Linked DNA regions of Arabidopsis thaliana. The protein of the gene in region 2 interacts with the protein of the main gene of each other region in a pairwise test. Each region holds a gene or a part of one and is shown on either strand. Other genes may lie near its edges.

Region 1 (3,881 bases), on a different chromosome or scaffold from region 2:
GTTCATGTTCTTAGATACAGATGTATTTGAATTTACTGTAGAAATTCTAAGTATATCTTTTACTTCTTGAAGTGATCTAATAAACTTTTGTTGCAGCCGAGGACTAGTGGTTGGTTTGAAAGAGAACCAACCGATACCTTGTTAAATATTGTGTCGTTTCGTTATTGCTCTATTGTTTAAATCGTTTCCGCTATTTAATTATTCTATTTAGTATATCTCAAAATTTTACAATAATAATTCAAAAAGGGTACAAGACCTGAAAATTGTATCTATGTAACAAGAAAAAAAAATTAAGATCGTTTTAGGTGGAAGAGTGTAACAAAGCTAGTCTCTGAATGCTCTCCTTTTTCATGTAATTCTTCTTGTGATTATTTTTATAGCTATATGGCTTAAAATTAGGAGTCGGATTTGACCAGTCTCCTAAACCCTGAAAGGACCAAACCGGTATAGCTATATGGCTTAAAATTAGGAGTGATAGATTTGACCAGTCTCCTACGCCTTGAAAGGACCAAACTTGTCTAAATGTATGTACATGGGTGCATGTATATCAATATGCGTATACGTGTGTTTAAACTTTAAACTACATGCATGTAGAATTATGAGATATCAAATAAAACTATAACGTTGATTTTTATTTAATTTCTTTGTGTGGACGTCCTAAAAGGCAAAACTTTCCTTTAGATGTGTATAAACGTTTTTGTGACAGTTAAGATGGGGTTTCTTTTCCCCTCCAAAATGGCTAAGAGTTTATTTGATTTTGTCTTCTATTTCTATTTTTGCTTTTTATCTCTATTTTGAGGTTTAGATGATTTGTTACCTCAAAAACAATGTGCCAAATAACTTTTTTTATTCCGTATAAAATTAAATGCTCGCAACTAACAATGTCCTCTCGCAATTTTACTGTCCTTGACTGACACAATCGAGTTCAGACATCACAATCTCTGTTTTTTTTTTCTTTGTTAGGGAGAAAAAAAGAAAGATTCTTCTCCACCAAATTTCATCCCACTGGTTTATTTTAATAATGCACCTGCTAAGGCAATGCTCGTGCAGTTCTGCTACACACATATATGTCGGAGACTTTTGACTATGGAATTAACCCTATGAAATTCGTATGTCATTAAAGATCAAGCCCATCTCTTTGAATTTTACATAATAAGACGATTATGTTAAAAATATAATTATTATAGAGCGATCATTTAAGATTACATGGATAGGCTTGTCAAAAACAAACAAAAGAACAAAAAAGATTACATGAGTAGGCTTCTAATAACGGCGGCTTCAGGGCTATCTTCATCGACAGATTCGAGAAGCTGAGACAAACGCTCGCTCAGATTGTCAACTTCTCTGTTCAAATTTCGTATGTAATTGCATGTCTCTTGCAATACTTTCGAGGCTGATGCCTTCAACAACAAAAACGAAATAAAATCATAATCATTATAATATATGTTTTTTGAACCAATGCATGCGCTTTTATGCGTTTGCAGATGCATGCAAGCTGATGATTTTGATGTAATCTCTTATGTAAATATGGAAGAAAAAGGTTGTGAATATTGGTATATATGTTCCTTAATGTCCGGAGTCAAAAGTTCCGACTTCTTTTTTCTTTCTTGTTTGATTTTAGTGTCCACTCTTCTTTTTACAAAACTTTTGTTCTTTCCTTTTTTGGATAGGTTTACACGATGGATAATGTTAAATGGTCGTTATAAATGAATATATGCATATATTATGCGTGATACCTTATCAGAACGACGTCGTTGACCAATCTCCGGCAAAATTTGACGGAGCTTAGATACGAGGTCAATCATTTGATTATCGGAGATCCTTGGAGCACTTGAAGATTGCCTTGATCTTCTGTTCGACATGTTCAACAATGTGGCAAGAAAAGACCCTAACTAAGTTGTGGATTCTTCTCTCTTTCTTTACTTCTCTCACACTAGCTCAAACAAGTTCTATTGAGAAATAGAAATAGAGATATAATGAGATCGGCTATGTCTATGTGGCAAGTAGGTGTAAGCTTTTATGATTTTATAAGGTTTTTATGCTGAAAGGAAACGACCAAGAAGAAAGAAAAACTAGAGAGCAAGAAGAAAATAGAGAAGAGAATGAGAAAAGTGTTTTGGGGTTTTGAATACACTTCAAATATAAAGAAATTGAGAATGTGATAAGAGAGATTTAAATAGGCCAATGGACCACAAGAGAGAGAGAGCGACGGAGAGCAGCAATAAACCTCGACAATGATGTCACGGGAGAAGAAAGCGATAGATTGAATGCCCTTAAACCACAAAACTTCGAAATCATTTTTTATTACAGATTTCCAAGCCGTATATATACATATCATCAGTCGAGACTATTACCAATCATTATACGAAGGTAATGGCGGGATTGAATTATTTCACAACGTTTTCAATCATGGTTAGTTAGTTATTGTGTATAGTTCAAATGATACACAAGTTTCAAGATTCGTAACTTTTTAGGATTTTGTGGAAAATAAGTCTTGAAATCGTCCATTTCTACTTTCAGAAAATATAGAATAATTTTACAAAGTGAAAAATACTACGCAATATAACATTTTTTGCTATTGTCAGATTTCGTCAAGTTTTAAAAAAATTGAGAAGTATTATATCAAATCGAAGCCCTCGAGACAAAGAGTTCAACTCTTCTTTAATTTAGATTTTTTAAAATGTATGTGATCGTGAATACGTTTACAATATATGTATAAGGAATATATTGCGTATTATTTTTGTTTTTTTATGATTATTCTGCATATTTTAGAAGTAGAGGGTAAAATTACAAAAATAGATTTCTCTTAGGATTTGTTTTACCAAAACCCCAACTTTTTATGCCTCAACTATCCAAAAAAAAAGAAAATGATTATGACTAGAATGGATCACAAATATACATATGCTTAGTTATTGAAAATTTTACAGTATAATTCCTATAGAGTGGATAAATAAATGGGTACTAAATTTTTTGAATAATTGGAGGAGATTTGAATAGTTAAATGGAGGAAACGAAAAGTTCCCAAAGATGGGGTTGATGAAGGTCAAGATAAGTGTTTCATGTTCATCTAACATTGTGGCCCTTCATCTGCAATTTCACAAAAAGGCAACTACCATGTGATGACATGACTTTTCATTCAATTTTTTTTCTTCTAATATTAGAACTAGTATTATCGCCTAAATTGTCTCTCTAAATTTGTATTCCACAATATCTAGGTACAGTTTGTATATTTATCTGTAAATCTTGTATATTACCAAACTATATATTTTAAACTTGTATAAAATATATAGTTCCAAACTTGTATAAAAAAGCATAGAGAGAATTATGTAAATTCTATCTTCCATACTAACTACATTTGTTTTAGAAAGGAAGAAGCCTAATTATTGACTCCTATGGAACATTGTTTTCTAACTGCTAAGCCATAAATAGTTTCACCTCATATGTAAAATATTTCGTGTGATAACTTTTAAAAAATTATAGAATGTCAATGTAACTTAAAAATAGTAGATATAAAACAAATATTTTCTATAAAAGGATTATTGTTGATTTTGCCGTTTTCATCAAAATCTTTTGAAAAAGTCATTTTTACTAAAATTTTACGAAATTGTCATTTTAGTACTTATAAATGTACGTATTTACGATATTATTTTTACAAAAATAAGTATTTTATATTAAATGCTAAACTTAAAAAACAAAAAAAAAACTCGACTAAACCTTAATATAACGAATAAAAGCTATGCTAAATTTCATTTTTTAGACTGAAAAAGAGCAAAATCCACAAATTATTTAAAAAATGACAAAATCCATAAATATCATTCAAAAAATGGTAAATCCATAATTAATTCTTTTATAAAACGTGAAAAGGAAACCAAATGCTTAAA
Region 2 (4,243 bases):
CCATTCCGTCGGTTCTTCTACCTTTTTAACTTCAAATTATTTCACATGGCCTACACATAGACTATAGTATACATTTATCTAAGACCATGCGTTATATGATTATGATAAGAATGGAGCTCGTAAATAGTATATCAGATAAAGTTGAATGAAAAAAATAGTTGATCGGTAAAATAATATTATACTTGATTAATTGAAACATATATTGAGGATAAGCTAGAGTTACCATTTCCTATAACTATTCTACTTAGATTAGTACTCTTCGTATGAATCATATGTTACATTTTATATACACTTTGATAAAACTATTTGTTTTACATATAATTCTGTTTTGCATCAATGGACTCTCACTATTGCATCTTGTGAACTCGTCTGTTTTATTCCCCATGATGAGTGATGAAACCATCAGCCACGCCACCAATGATCTCAAACATTATTTTTATATTATAGTTACATCTGTCAACACTCAACAGTAACATCAATGTATTGTTCTGCAATGTCATCTCACATATCTTTTGCAAATTCAAAAAGTACGAGATATCTCTCTGTAGATCAAGACCATTTGGTGTTCTTTGATTCAAGACACTAGAAACAATTTGATTGTACTATAAATCCTCAATTTTTGGAAGTTTATCAACTGTTAGGACAATCGACCTGTCAGTAAATCTGAATTTCTTATATGATAGTAAATGATTTTAAAACATATCACAGCCGTCAATCAGAGAGACTGTGAGAGTCACCGTTGAAAATCACTCTTTGGTGAGTGAAAAAATGTAAAAGTAAAAGAACCAATGGGTAAGGGTCCCTCCACGTGTGCACATGCGCTTCGGTGGACGCGTGCATGCAAGAGTGTTGCCACATTAACGACGTCGTAGAATGTGATTAAGGGCACAAAACATTTTAATCAAAGAAAATTTGACTGATGGTGACGACAATGAGATGGTGGGCGTGTAGAGTTCGGAGAATGATTGTTGAGATTCCCGTAAATTACGGAGGTCCATTGGAAAACAAATCCCCGCACCAGAAGATCCATGTTCGATGTATTTTGTTGGAGAAAAAAAGCTAATTTTAATATCAAAAATATTTCTCTTTCGATAGTTGTATATATTTATCGAACATCAACTTTTATATTCATGTACATCTATCAATATCATTTTTTCGTTTTCTGAATTAAATTGACCAATATAAATGAATTATTATTGTTTCTTTTTCCTTTTTATCAACAATTATTATTGTTTCTTTTTTTCTTTTTCAAAACCAGGCTTTCCCAAAGTTTGCGGATCGCCACGTTTTAACCACTAACACCATATTGATGTTATTTGTTGTATGTGTATAAAAAAAGTTATGGCACAGTTAATGTGTTGACCATGCTTTTCATATTTGATACCTAGTTGTGAATGTATCACTGTGAAGCATCAAAAAGAAGATGAAATAATGCACCGTATAACCAAGGTGTGCACTGTGCAATGCAATGCATCATAAATTTCTCAAATTCTGTTTTTTGTATGTAAATTATTGACGTATAATGGTAAATATGATTAATAGATTCACTCATTGTTCGACAATAATCAAACTGAATATTGCTCGATAATAACTGAACATATTACATTAACAAATTACGCACTCACAATCGTCAGAACCAGCCATTATTCTCAGCTATACATTCTATATCATTTGTTATCTTTTTATAACCTTAGGTGATTTAGGTGATCCAGGTCACGGTAAGTATATATAGATTATAAACTTTTATGGAAGACTGATGACTCAATCTACAACATTGGAGAACCACAACTTTTTAATCTATACTTTACGTTCTTTAACATTTAAATTTCAAAACTGAGATGGACTTTTTTAGTTATTATATATGTTCTAACTAAGTAATGACACCAATTCAAAGATAATCTAGATTATTTAGCGTGCTTATATAGGCCTTTATTTGCTTGGCGACAGCGCTGACTGATAAGGTTGTCAGATAGAGAATTACATGTTAAATCAAATATGTGAACATACATTACATACATATATATACGAGTGATGAGATCATTATATATCACGGATTCACGGAGTGTGAAAAAAAAAACCAAATGAAGCTACGCAGTTGACAGAAAACAAACGAAAGATACACAAAAAATGTTTTTTTTTTCATAAAATCCTCATAATTGCAAAACTTAAAACATCAAAACGTATATATATCATCACAAATTTTCGGCGGAAACAAATAATAATGGACAAAAGTTTCCTAAATTATAGGGTAATACAAAAGGGTACGTGGGCCATTCGTAGCATGTGCATGCATGTGCTTCTCCTATCTCCTATTGCCCCCACCATTTTCCCTCTCCTTTTGAAACAATTAAAATGGACCCTTTCCTTCTCCTTTCTCTCTCCCTTACCTCTCTGTCTCTTTCCCTCTCTCTCGTCGAATTCACGAATTCGTGAGGTGACCGCAGATTTGTTCTTAGCAATCTTTGACGACACTAGAAGTAAACAAATTCTTAAAAAGGTATGTGTTCATGTCTCTTCTGGTTATAATAAGGAACCCTAAACGGGGAAAAAATCCAGTTTGGTTATGATTTGATGTATATTAGTATATTACATACATGTATCCCTTTGATGTATAAAGACATCATGGTTTATTACTTAGGATTAACTTACTTTTTCTTGAAAAATGACTCATAATTGAGTATATTTCTACTTGATTAGGATTTAGGATGCAGCCTACGAGCTCAATGAATGAAGAATTCCTAAAGAAATGGCAAATGGGTCTTCAAATATTCCGTCCTTCGATAGACAACACGAGCGTCCACGAGAGAAAAAAAGCAATAAAGCTCTCTGCAGACGTTGCAATGGCGTCTCTAAGAAAAGGAACAACTTGTTGGAGCCGAGCCCTAATCGAGAAAACCGCCACCGAGGACAATTTCCTCGTACGTCAGATGCTTTCCGGCATCAAAGCGGAAACGTTAATCAACAAGAAGTTGCCTAAGAAGACTGTGTGTCATAGGAAGATCGTGAGGCGAAGCAAGAAGATCTTGAGGAGGAAATCGAAATCAGCGAGCGAAGAGGCTGCAGCAAAAGCTAAGAGACTCGTCAAGAGACGGACTCAAGGATTAAGAAACGTTGTACCTGGTGGTGAGTTGATGAGCAATGACGTCTTGTTGCTTCAAGAAACGTTAGATTACATTGTGTCGCTTCAAACGCAAGTAAATGTTATGAGAAGTATTGTTGATGCTGCCGAGGCCGAAATTGAGAGATAAATGATAAAAAAAAATCTTGTTTTATTTTTTTATCTGCGGAGATTAGTTGCGAAAGCATGATGTCGATCGGATCTTGTTGTTGGTCATTAGAACCGTATGTTATTCGGACAATGCAATTGTCATACGAGGATGGAGAGATATTATAGTAAGCCATTTTGTACATAAGGAAATTTATACAATGCTTATAGAAAGTTTCTGCTACGTGATGGTGGTTTTTATTGGAACATTTCTTGGCAAATTTTTATTTTTTTTGAATTTAATTTAGTTAATGTGAGTGAATTTTAAGATATTTTTAACGCTTCGATTGCTTTTCTTGGCATGTTTTTATTTGAGAGAAAAAAATAGACAAATGTTATTTTATATTATAGATATCTGGTTCAGTTTTATTACAACTCACTCGTATTGGATAGCTCATTTGACATGTCAACCCAAAACAAATGATATATACTAGCTCATGTGAGTTTTTTTTCTGTTTTTTTTTTTCAGATTTTCAATGTTAATTAGCTCATATGAGTTGTCCAATATATATTTGACTCTTTGCTTATGTTTTTTTTTGGGTTAAAGACTTGGTTTGAAAGGATAGTACTAGTCTACTAGAACAAAACAACCAATAAGACAGCACGTGTAAAAATCAGTCTTTTTCGTATATACTCCATGTTTCATCAATCAGCATCATTTAGTATTCAGCTAAGGAAGAAGACGCTTAATGGCAACGAGGAAAAAAAAAACGTACATATTCACGTTCATTTTTTTCCTAGCTAAATTAATTAACACCGTTCAAAGATATATTATTTTGTCTCATGAAAGCTATGCCTCCCACCGATGGTATTTATCCATTTATATGTGCATCTATGTACATATGATTAATGATTCTCACTTCTCAGTTAGATCTGCATTCATTTTTGTTTGAACAAATTCTTATTAAAAAAAAAATCTTATTTGCCACGTACTTTATATGTTAGATCATGTAACAAAGGGGTATTTTCGATTTTTTC
Region 3 (4,474 bases), on a different chromosome or scaffold from region 2:
TGAAAGATGCATTCTAATGTATCAATTTTGAACGGTGGTACTGGTACATCGACGACACTAGTATGAACAATTATGATATAAATTAAACTCACTGGTTTTTGCAAATGTTCTAACTATAAAAACATTTTTCTTTGAAAATTGTTATCTCACTACCGTAGTAAAACGATGGAGATAAGAAAAGCGAGAGGTCATGTGGGAGAGGGCGTGAAGGATGGGGATGCTCCCTGATTAGAGGGGGGAAAGAGTGTCCTATCATCACATGGGAGGTTAAACTGGTTCTTATTTATAACTTCAAAATATTAAAACATAAATAGTCCCACCTTTGTGTGCTCATCAGCAAACATTTTTCTTTAATGTCCAATTTATCACACCATCTCCTTGTTTTCTAATACATATCATACATCTACTAATCATCATTCATTCATATCTTTTGCATATATCATCATCTTCATCATCATCATCACGTGTTTAGATCTAGCAAATGGTTTGTTGTTATTTATGACCAAAACAACATTACCATGTAGTATTTATATAAATCCTAAATAAAAATTGAAACTCACTGATACAATTAAAATTAAAGTATTTGTACAAAATTACATATTGACGAATGTTAGTTGGAAATCACCTGTCTAAGTTTTTTAGAACAAGTGCTCAAAGATATTGGGTTCGACAATTGATGAAATTCCACTTAGGCATTACATATAAATAAATATCGTAAGCATATACACTATCAATTGAGGTACACGTGATCGAGCTTGGACTAAAAGTGTAAGACTAGCCCCTCCCTATTGGCTAGGATAGATACCGTACGTTCCCTCAAATTGACCTAAGTCCATTGTTTTTGTTTACCCGTATCTATATAACTGAACCACAAAATCTTCTTGGTTTTACGCATCACAACGATCATAAAATAATGATATACTCATATAGGTATATCTTGAGTATATAGACAAGCTTTACACTAGCTTGTATAATAAGATAAATAGAGTGGTGATATTTTAATGTTGCATTGTTTCAGTACTTGAAATCAGAATCGTTTCCCACTTGAAAAATTAGTTTCTCTTTGATCATAGCATATCTAACAAGACATATTAGTCGAGCTTTTGGATAGTTGTCGTTTGGTCTTAAAAAATAATGATACATTCTCACAAACTCTCACCGTACCTCAAGGCTCAAGCAAAGCTAGGACATGCTATTAAGGAACTGTAACTACTATAGCTGATTATCACAAAGTCTCACCTCAATATATATAAAGATTTTAATGACTAGAATAATTATAAGTTTTGAGATAAATTATCAATGTATCCAAGTGAAAGTATTGTTTGGTATTTTCTGTCAATCTAGATATTCATTTGCGAATTCCTAATTGACGAAAAATAACAGATATTATAATGTTACTAATTAACAAAAAATAAATCTTTGAAAAGATTTACATCATTGAAATACTACAATATTAAAAATATAATAGCATTATAATATCGACAATACTTATAATACTCATATAATAATATAATAAGAAGATTTTAAATGTACATAATACAAATTATTGCAAAAAGATTTCCAGTAATAGATACTAAGTTCTACTAAAGTTTTTGAAACTTTTTAGGAAAAGCAAGATTTTGTTGGAGACTTTGGATTAATGTAATTTTCAAAAGAGAAGAAGATGGTTTTTTTTTTTCTGAATATAAGAAAATAGAAGATATATATCTATCTTCGGTGTATTTATTGTTGATAAATATGCTGTCTTTTTTTAAAGTAAATAGATAAAAGTTAGACAGACTTTTTTTTTGTCTTATGTATCTTTTTCTCTAGTTTTTTATAAATCAACTTTAAATTAATCATCAAATAATAGTAATATTAGACACATATATACATCACGATCTGATAAATTTGTAAATTCACGTGTCATGTATCCAAGACTCCAATTCTAAACCACTGTTCTCTCTTGTGCACTTGTCATCGGCATATCCAACACCCCTATTTAAGATTATTTGTATTACTCTCGCTCTCTCTCTCTCTCTCTATCTAGAAGTGGTCCTAGCTCTCTATATAACACCATTTCTTCTCCTTCTTTCTTCTCCCTTTCTTTCGACAAGCACAAACAAAGCCATCAAGAGAAGAAAGCCTTTTCTTGGATTCACATATATATAAGAATATTTTTTCAAATCAAACATGTCTTCTAGCAGAAGGTCGAGACAAGCAAGCTCATCATCAAGAATTAGCGATGACCAGATCACTGATCTCATCTCAAAGCTCCGACAGTCCATTCCGGAGATTCGCCAGAACCGTCGTTCCAACACGGTAAATCTTTTCAAAAGTTACTGTGTTTCTTCTATGTACCAAGGTTTTGGCATAGTCACATAAGTTTTACTTTGATGATATTTATTTAGGGTTAGCTATTATGTTTAATAGAGAATCACGCATATACAAGTATACAACATGTTAGAATAGTGCATTATAGTCATAGAAGTACGTGTGGGAGACTGCATTTTGAAGTTTCTAAAATTACTTTTGACCATTAACCGGACTTTGAGGAGAGGGGAACATATTTTCCCTAACTTCAGCATTAAGCTTCTAGTTAATTTTACTTTTATTATTGATTAACTACATTGAATGTGAGACGACTATATTGCTTCACGGACCATCAATTCAATACATTTATGTACAGCACCGACTAATTTTTATATTTGGTTTTCTTAGTTTCTATATAACAAGAAAAGTACGAACTCTAGAAAAATAAGAAAAAGCTGGTTTCTATAAATGGAAGCATCGTTTTCTTATAGTACACACAACCAATCAGATTTGTTCTCAATTTCAAAACAATGTGTTGGTTAAGTTATGAGCATTTTTATTTTTTTGATAAAGTATGGGCATTTTATCTTAAGCTTTAGGTTTAACTTTTAACCTATGCATAGTGTAGTATGTCAAGCAACTAGCGTCAATATATTTTCTTACATTATTAACACGCATCATAACTTCAAGCTAAGACTTGTTTCTGTTGTTGTTAAAGCAAGCTAAGACTTGTTTGAATATTTATATTGAATCCTTACTATAAAATGTACAATTGTGAAAATTGTTTGTAGGTATCAGCGTCGAAAGTGTTACAAGAGACTTGCAACTACATAAGAAACTTGAACAAGGAAGCCGATGACCTCAGTGATCGATTGACTCAGCTTCTGGAATCCATTGATCCTAATAGCCCACAAGCCGCAGTTATTAGGAGCTTGATTAATGGATAATTAAGATATAAATTGATTAGTTGTGCTTTATATATATAAGCTTAAAATCTCGTTGGGAGGTTGATCCATCAGGGTGTTGCATAATTATATATCTATTTTATGTTTCTTATATATTATTTACAATCCTATCTAGTTAGGGTTCATATTTTGACCCTTTTTTGGTTTAACGTCATGCATGCAATTCCATTAAGCTTAAAAATTATAATAAATAAGATTTCGAGTAATTATTTAATTTAAATCCTTTTATATTATATTGTAAGTGTGTCCATTTGTATGTGTGTTAATGCGTTATACAAATGGATATACTATATAAGTATATATGGCACCCAAGAGGTTAATTAATTTCAAAGTTAATTTAGACTTATCTTCGAAATAGATAGAAAAGTTGATTAATACTATCATTTAAAGCGTACATGATTATCAATTTTGCATGAAAACGTAATAGGATGACTCAAACCTACCAGACTCACATAAAAAATAATATCTCAACCATTATACCACTATACATTGTTACAAATTACAAACTACAGAATGAAACAAAATCTATATTTATTAGCTTCTCACATATTAAAAAAAATAAAAAATCCAACAAATGTTTTTGAAAACAGACCCATCGTGCATTATATTTGATAATAAAGATAACATTTACACTAGTTTGCTATAAAATTTAGTATTTAATTACCTACAATAATTTTACATATATATATATATATATATCTGTATAAAATTCCCTAAAATATTTGAAGGTTTAGAAAACAGGTATATGAAGTTTAAACATGCGTATCATACAATCTAGTTAGTGTAAGTATTTACAGTCAAAATGTATGAACCCCGCGATGAAAAGTAAGATGAGTGAGCAGTTTTTAGAAAACTCTTCGGCTGATATATCACACGAATCTTGCTTATTAATGTTGCAAGAAGGACACAATAAAGTAACACGATTTTTGGCAACAAAAAAAAGAAGTATATATAATTAGTACAAAGTTCACCATAAATTAAATCACATTCTAAAAAGGAGTTTGTCGTCTTTTGTTAGCAGATGTGAAATATAGATGACGTTAATACTTATATTTGTCGGAGAACTGGGATCATGAGCCACAAATTTTGCATAAATTAGCGTAGTACTTAAGTTAACTTCTCACATTTTATACAAATATATATATATAAATATGAGACAGGGATGTGACCTTTTTTTTTTTTTTAATATGGAGTCATGGAGATCTTTCATGATTTGT

Evidence for each region.
Region 1: the proteins of AT4G30410 (region 2) and PRE1 interact in a two-hybrid assay, tested with the Arabidopsis thaliana proteins (one large-scale study listed by BioGRID).
Region 3: the proteins of AT4G30410 (region 2) and BNQ2 interact in a two-hybrid assay, tested with the Arabidopsis thaliana proteins (one large-scale study listed by BioGRID).

Annotation. Positions count from the first base shown.
Region 1 is NC_003076.8:15,955,670-15,959,550, reverse strand, and holds PRE1 (basic helix-loop-helix (bHLH) DNA-binding family protein), read right to left. Parts: upstream 2,184-3,881; 5' UTR 1,863-2,183; coding exon 1,737-1,862; intron 1,401-1,736; coding exon 1,248-1,400; 3' UTR 992-1,247; downstream 1-991. UniProt on the Arabidopsis thaliana protein: Atypical and probable non DNA-binding bHLH transcription factor that integrates multiple signaling pathways to regulate cell elongation and plant development.
Region 2 is NC_003075.7:14,870,314-14,874,556, reverse strand, and holds AT4G30410 (sequence-specific DNA binding transcription factor), read left to right. Parts: upstream 1-2,289; 5' UTR 2,290-2,705; coding exon 2,706-3,248; 3' UTR 3,249-3,573; downstream 3,574-4,243. UniProt on the Arabidopsis thaliana protein: Functions redundandly with IBH1/BHLH158 in a regulation node known as the incoherent feed-forward loop (FFL).
Region 3 is NC_003076.8:4,920,252-4,924,725, reverse strand, and holds BNQ2 (BANQUO 2), read left to right. Parts: upstream 1-1,913; 5' UTR 1,914-2,172; coding exon 2,173-2,301; intron 2,302-3,083; coding exon 3,084-3,239; 3' UTR 3,240-3,483; downstream 3,484-4,474.